2 linked regions of the Oryctolagus cuniculus genome follow. The protein of the gene in region 2 purifies or fractionates together with the protein of the main gene of each other region. This does not show direct contact. Links are inferred from orthologs where the notes say so. Each region holds a gene or a part of one and is shown on either strand. Other genes may lie near its edges.

Region 1 (3,746 bases), on a different chromosome or scaffold from region 2:
ACTCAGATAAAGCCCCAGGCTCCCGGCTTTGGGCGCAGCTCCGGCCGTTTCGGCCATCTGGGGACTGAACCAGCGGATGGAAGACCTCTCCCTACCTCTCCAACTCTGTGTGTCAAATAAATCTCAAAGAGAAAGCGCACATTAAAAGATTCGCAAGGCTCTCAAACAGCACCTGCGACTCCACACCCTCGGAGGCTCCCGTCCGTCACCATCCCCGGCTCGGCGCTGCCCAAGGCCCCCCACTCGTGACAATCCCGTGGCGACAAGATCGGTCTCCATCTTGGTGACAGCCCGAGGACCACGTCCCCAGAGGCGGGCGCACCCCTCCCGGCGAACCCACAGAGTCCAGCAGAGGAACACACGCAGCCGCGCGAGGCGCCGGGCGCGTGCAGAGGGGCGCGGCGAACGCCAGCTTCCTTCCTTATCTGTCGGGCGGGGAAGCCGAGAACGGAACGTGCCCGCTCCCCCGCACCCGCGCGGCCCGACTCACGCCGAGGCGCGGGGCTGCACAGCACAGCCGGGTTCCCGGGCGCGGGGCACCCGCGTGCGCTGCGGGGCGCCCAAGCCCGCGCCGCGTCCTTTGTGCCCTGGGGGCTCGCGCCTCGCCGAGGGGCGTCCCCGAGGCCGGCCCGCACTCCCTCGCGCGTGGCCAGCGGCGCTCGGGACCCGGACCCCCGACACGGGCGCCGCCGCCGCCCTCTCCTCCCAGGCGGCCGACGCCACGCGCCCTCGCCCGCGCCCGCGGGTCTCCGCGCGCCTCCGGCAGAGTGGGCGTGGGCCCCCCGGGGAGCGCCGCTGCGGACGGCGGGCGCGGGGCCGCTCGGCTGCGCCCCGGCTTTGTTCGCGCCCCGCGCCCGCCGGCTGCCCGCGCCCCAGCCCGCGCGTGCCCGCGCCTCGCGCCCCGGCCCCACGCACCTTCTGAATGGTCTGCTGCGTGACCTCCCCTTTGCCCCTCGGCCGGGCGGACGCGAAGGCCACGGACATTGCGGCGACGCGGGGCTCAGCCCGTGACCATCAGGGCTTATTCCCCGGCTGCGCTCGGCCGCCCGAAGAGCTCATTCTCCGCAGTCGCCGGGGGGCGGGAGGCGCGGGGGACGCCGCGCCGTGGGCTCGCCCGCCCCGCCGCCCCGCGCGCGCCGCCGCGCCCGCCGCGCCGCCTCCCGCCGCCGCCGCCCCCTCCGAGGCCGCGCCTCGCGTGGCGCCCCCCGGCGGCCGGCCGGCGCCCCGCGCCCGCTCCGCCGCGCCCCGCGCCGCCCCCCCCGCCCCGCCGCCCGTGGTTAGGCCCGGCCCCGCCCCGCCCCGCCGCGCGCCCGCACGTCCGCCCGACGCCGTGACGTCACCGACGCGCAGCGTGGGCGCGGCGCAGGGCGCGCGCGCCGGCCGTGAGTGTGCGCTTTTGAGAGCGGCGGAGAGGGTGGCCCTGGGCCCGCGCCGCGGCCGCCGGCATGAGCTACGACCGCGCCATCACCGTCTTCTCGCCCGACGGCCACCTGTTCCAAGTGGAGTACGCGCAGGAGGCCGTTAAGAAGGGCTCGACCGCGGTGAGCCGCCGCGCCGGGGCCTGCGCGCGCTGGGGGCCCGGGCCAGGGGCGCCGCCGGGGGCCCGGGCGCGGCGGCGGGCGGCGGGCCTGGGCTCGGCCGGGGGCGCGGGCTGCGGACCGCTGCTCCCGGGACGGCGGCGCGGCGTCCCTTCGGCCGTGCGTGTGGCCAGCGGGCCGCTGGGAACCCGCGGGGCGCCGGCTCCGTGGCGCAGAGAAGGGAGCCGCAGCCCGGGCGGGGCCGATGGCGGCGCTGGGGCGCGCATGGCGTCGGAGGCCGCGGGTGAGGGGCCAGGCCAGTAGCCCGGGGTGCCTCTGGGTGCGTGCTTTCCGGTACGGGAGCGGGCCGTGCCCTGCACCTGCCGGCGGCGGGCCAGCCGGACGCACGGGGACTGTCCTGGCGGCTCCCGGAGTGATGCCAGGCCACTGCCTGCCCAGGTGGGCACGTTGAGCTCGGGGCTCAGGCGCCTGTCTCGTTCCCACCAGCAGCACCTGGGCGCACCTCGGGAGCGCGCGCGCATGTGGAGGAGGGGTGGTGTTTCTCACAGGAGGCTGGGGGGCCCCGGGCCAGGCCCCCGGGGGTGCGGTGCCTGGGCAGCGTCTGCCCCCTCGCAGACAGCGCCGTGGCGCGCGACGTTTTTGTCCCTTAGAATCCTAGACGTTCAGGGCCACGACGCGGATTCTGAGGTCGCCACTTCCTGGCTCGTGTGACCGCCTGCAATTAGGGTCCCAAGTCCAACTCTGACCTCCTCCCCACCCACGCTCGCTCGGGCGGACGCACAGCTGCGGCTCCCGGAGCGTCTGGCCGAGTCGGCACCCGGGACCTCCCTGGAAACCGGGCCAGTGCCCCTCGGCCCGCGGGCACTGCCGTGTGGAGCGAGACTGCTGCTGGCATGCCGTGGGCGGGGGCGGCTGCCCAGGTCGGCACTGGCCGGCGGGGCTGAAAGGCCCTGTGCTGGAGGGCGGGCACGCGCGGCGCCCACCGATTGCTGCGGTTGGTTTCTAGGCTGTTTGATTGACGTGTGGGATGGCCGATTCCTGAGGTTCCGGTGTGTGTGAGAGGCAGAGCCCCCACCCGCCGGCTGACTCCCCAGAGGCCCCTGACCGCCACCAGCCAGGAGCTTAGTCCGGGTCTCCCAGGAGGGGGGTGGGAGCTGCGCCCCGACTCTGATGGGGGCTCGGCGTCCCATGCCGAAGCGGCTCCCACGCCTGGTTAGGAGACGGGGAGGCCTTCATACTGCTCACGCCCCTTGGGCCCGCGACAGTGGGTGCCAGTCTAGGCCGGAGCCGGGACCCTGCGTGGGTCCATGGTCTGCAGCCTTGCCAGCCCAGCCCTCTGAGCAGGGGTGGGGAACCTGTCTCTGCCGGGCCGTTTGCGGTCGTACGGAATTGTCCACTTCATAATTAGCCTGCCGTGATTTATCGGATTTTGAATCCCACCCGTGGTTGCCTTGGCGGGCGGTGTCCGGCGACGGCTGACAGCAGGCGGCCCCTCCCTCGTGCCGGGAGGTGGCTTCACAGCTCGCCTGCGGCCGGCGCCCCTGTTCAGACTCCGGCCCACACGGCAGGTCCCTACCCGCAGTGCCGGGCCCGGGCTGTCGGGCTGTGAGCTGTGGGCTGCGCGGGTGAGCACAGCTCCGCGTGGCGGCTGCCGGCCACGCCCCAGGACCGTGTTGCCGTGTGCTCCTGGCGCCCCGCCTCCGCAGTTTCTCATGCGGGCCGTGGTTTTCATTGGAGGTTGGCGTCCGGGGGAGAGACATCGTCGTCCTTGGCGTGGAGAAGAAGTCGGTGGCCAAGCTGCAGGATGAAAGGACCGTGCGCAAGATCTGCGCGTTGGACGACAACGTCTGCATGGCGTTCGCAGGTGCGCGACCGGGGCCAGGGCCGCACTCAGGGTCCCGGTGGAACCTGGCTGTGCAGAGGGACGCGGGGCCCCGGGCTGTTGCCAGACGTCAGTGGATTCGGACTTCAGGAGTTAACTTGGGGGTTTTTCTGTCCCCCAAACACGAGCCCCGCCTGACCTGTGGCATGCAGAGGGCAGACAGGGCTGCCCGTGGCCAGCAGCAGTACACCTGCCCCGTGACGGGGAGGCACGCACTCGGCCCCTGCGCTCCCCCAGGGCGCGGGGCGGCTCCCTGACCTGGTTCTCAGAAGAGCCCCGGAGGCTGCTGGTCCCGCTCTGGCCGCTAAGGGCGAGGGGGGACCGTG
Region 2 (3,646 bases):
CAGCAAAGGTAAGCAATAAAGGAAAGTGCATTATATTTCAGATGGGGGAAAAAGGAGGATTTATAACTAGGATGAAAAACATTCAAACCTAAGTTAATGTTAGTTGAAGTTTTTTCGACTAAAAATGTACCTCATTATTCATGATCAGCAGAAAAACACAGAAACAGGCAAAACAGCTATGAAGACAGGAGAAGGTCCTCCCTCCCAGGGAGGATCAAGGAAGCTACCACTGACTGCTAGCTTCTGCCATCCGAAGGAAGCCAAGCAGCAAAGATTACCGAGGGCTGAAAACAGAAGAAACTGCCTACCTCCCATGATCCATTTTTTAAGTAAACTGTACACGCTGGAAGAGTTTTAGTGCCATAATATGCACACATAAAAAACAGAGGTTGAGAAAGTGAGGTACAATCTAACTTAAATATTTATGTCAAGACAGACACAGTGAGACAGAACAAGTGAAATTTATAGATAATGGAGACCCACTTGGGTCAAGATCTTTAACAAGGTAACCTATCTCAAGTAAATGGGATCAATACTTACCCTGTTTCAACAGTGATTAGAAAATATGTTATTTGAATTCTTCTACTAGGAACCCTGGACAAACTGTTATGGAACTCAATTGTTAGATCCTTATGAGCTCTATAAATCAACATCCTTCCTCTACTTTTGACAAAGGCATTTTGAGAGAAGTCATAGGCTCAAGTTTGGGTAACAGAGGTCTAACAGAAAGCTTAAGTAGTTTGCTCTTGAATGCTCAAAAACTGAACGGCAGGAATTAAGATGCCCATGTCCTACAGCAGATTGTGTGGGCTAGGTTGCTGGTTTCTGCTGATTCCAGCTTCCTGCTAATGCAGACCCTGGGAGGCAGTGGTGATGGCTCAAAAAAACTGGATTCCTGACATCCACAGAGGAGATCTGAATTGAGTTCCTGGCTCTTAGCTTCTGTCCCAGCCAGAAGCCAATGTGTACTTTTGAGAAGTATACTAGCAGATATGATATGTGTGTGTGTGTGTGTGCCTGCCTCTCAATTTTTTTTTTTAAATTGAAAGCTCTCTCTCAAGAAGCATAAGACTATACTGTGATAATGATTGGCAAGTAGAGGTCTATTTTTATTTGTCTCAATATACAAAACTAAACAAATGCAATGAAATTCACACTGTAAAAAATATACTTAAAATTACATAATTCAGGAAAATAATAGGTAATGAACTTTTCTTCTGTATCACTGAGTCAATGCTATGTTCTCAAAGCTGATCAATGAATTTCTCCTCTATGAACAGAAATAAGCATGGTGAAACAAAAACAGAAGCCATAACGAAAAGACAAGCAACCAAGTAGAAGAGGCCAGGAAAAGGAACAGATATCAAGAATAATCTAACTATGAAGGGGCTTCAATAAAAACATGCAAAACTACACTTACCTTTCAAGTACAGGGGGTATTACTAACTCAGGTCTCATGAGTGCAAGATTCTGCAAAGCCTGGGCTGCTTCTAGACTACCAGTTTTGCTAAACATAGCCAAGAGGACAGGCTGAATAATGCATTGTACAAAGTCTGTAACATCTTGATCAGTGAGCTTATGGCTATCAGGCACAGGAGTCAACCAAGAGGGCTTCTTGTATCTTTCACGATGCAATCTTCTAACAACACTGTTTGGCAACCGCTGAAGTAGTTTCATTAACTTGTTCTGGGAACACAGAAGCAAAAGGCTCTAGCTAGTTTCCTTTCTCTAAGAGAAAGGATTTTAAACGAACACCTCTTATTAAATCTACATGATACACTTAGATAGAATAAACATACTTTTACCAAGGAATTACTGAAAGTTAACTATTGAGTTGGAAGTTCCAGTTCTAAAAGAACTTCTTCTAGCACCTCTTAAATTTTCCATTTTATGAAAAGCCATTTTAACCAGGCTACTTAAATAAAGCAAAACCACAAAACATTGCTGGTAAGTTAATATTGAAAAGATGATTCTATGATTTTGTGGCATTTTTGCTATTTTGTTGCCAAAATGTTACATTCTGTCACTAATTACCACATCAATATTGTCATAATTTATCTCCATACATTCTATGAAACAGTAAATGAATGTGAACTGAATCACTTAATACAGAACATAGTTTAAAATGTGGAAAGAATCAAAAGATAAGTTTATTTTACTGCAGAAAAATCATAGTTCTCATAATATGCATTATCTATGAACTTTTGGAAGAAAAAAATTTATGTATTGGATTTTTACACCAAAATATGCCCATCTTTTAATTCCATTTTCCACAAACTTTTTGAAGTACCCCTTCCAGCCAAAGTTTATATTTTCACATGAAGCAAACAAAATGCTTTTACAAGTCATAGAATAGACAATTTATACGTATGGCTGTATCTTGAAAATCTTCAAGTACTACAGTACAAAAATAAACATACTCACCAGCCAACGCCCATTATTTGAAGGATGGTAAAAAGATGTGATGCTGTTAAACAAACCAGCTAAGTGTTTTTGCACTAGCTTACTTGGTCCACCCTGTCCAGAAAAAGAGTAAAAATGTCAGTAGCCATATTATATTGTAAAACTGAAAGGAACAACAGGGTCAAGCTTGTACATAAATCTCTGTAAAACAGTACACATTCGTCCTCTTATTCTCTGAAAAAGACTCTACAACAATTCCCAGATGAACCACATGCAAGTCAATTTAAAACATTTTACTAAAAATAAGAGCAACTTACTTAAACCAAATTAGAAAATTTTAAAAGGTATCTTTGCACTTAGCATATTTTATGGTCAAGTTACTTAGTAAAATTTATCATTAAGCAACAATGGTAACAACAAATTAAAAGTAGTTCTTAAATGGCTCAATAAGTGAATTTCTCATTACATGAAACAGAATACTCACACTCACACAAATGTACTCTAGTATTTTATAATAACCTCTAAATGTTTAACACTATCAAACTAATGTGGCCACATTATGACTTGACAGATTTTTTCTTGATCTACTGACAAAACATATTCTATTAAAATAACCAAACAAAAACAAACAAAACAAACAACAGCACAATCTGGGAGAAAAAGCAAGTTTTCATCCTATCAAGTTGATTAGTCCCAGGATACAACACGACTTGGTCTCTAAAACCTCCTGTCTCATGATCATCTGTCAAGAAACAGCACAGATGTAAAATAAAATGTCAGCCTACAAGAGAAATATGCCTTCCTGTTGAAATGAAATGCATGTTCATGTTTCCCAATCTAGTCCCTAGAACTGGGCAACCACTCAAAGAGCTCCTAATTCCACAACAAATTAACTCATACAACTTTCAAATTTTTGACACTGTAATTGGCAACACTGATATTTTTTAAAAAATTTTTCAAATTTAACATTAAATAAAGTTCACAATGAGAACTGTGTGAGAAAGCACAGCAAAATTCACTCAATCAAGGCTGAAACTAAACATCTAATCTTGTGGTCTCCAAAACACAAGTTTCAATTCACTGCTTATGTAACAGAGCAAACATCCACATGTTTTTTGCTTTTATTGAATATTACTGAATATTGAGGAAAAATAAGATTTCCCTTTTTAACAATAAGACAACAAAAACCAAGAGGAGCTTTAATTTCTTTCACTTTATGAAATTTAAGAGGTAAACTAACAAT

What was found.
Region 1: the proteins of PSME4 (region 2) and PSMA7 purify together in Homo sapiens (affinity purification with mass spectrometry; 4 studies listed by BioGRID and IntAct, with this or other methods). This does not show direct contact. The link is inferred for Oryctolagus cuniculus from reciprocal best matches to the Homo sapiens genes PSME4 and PSMA7.

Annotation. Positions count from the first base shown.
Region 1 is NC_091442.1:1,220,558-1,224,303, forward strand, and holds the start of PSMA7 (proteasome subunit alpha type-7), read left to right. Parts: upstream 1-1,329; 5' UTR 1,330-1,445; coding exon 1,446-1,541; intron 1,542-3,275; coding exon 3,276-3,402; intron 3,403-3,746. Other genes in the region: SS18L1 (calcium-responsive transactivator), read right to left, coding at 916-984.
Region 2 is NC_091433.1:148,786,314-148,789,959, reverse strand, and holds part of PSME4 (proteasome activator complex subunit 4), read right to left. Parts: intron 2,518-3,646; coding exon 2,425-2,517; intron 1,687-2,424; coding exon 1,421-1,686; intron 1-1,420. UniProt on the Homo sapiens protein: Associated component of the proteasome that specifically recognizes acetylated histones and promotes ATP- and ubiquitin-independent degradation of core histones during spermatogenesis and DNA damage response.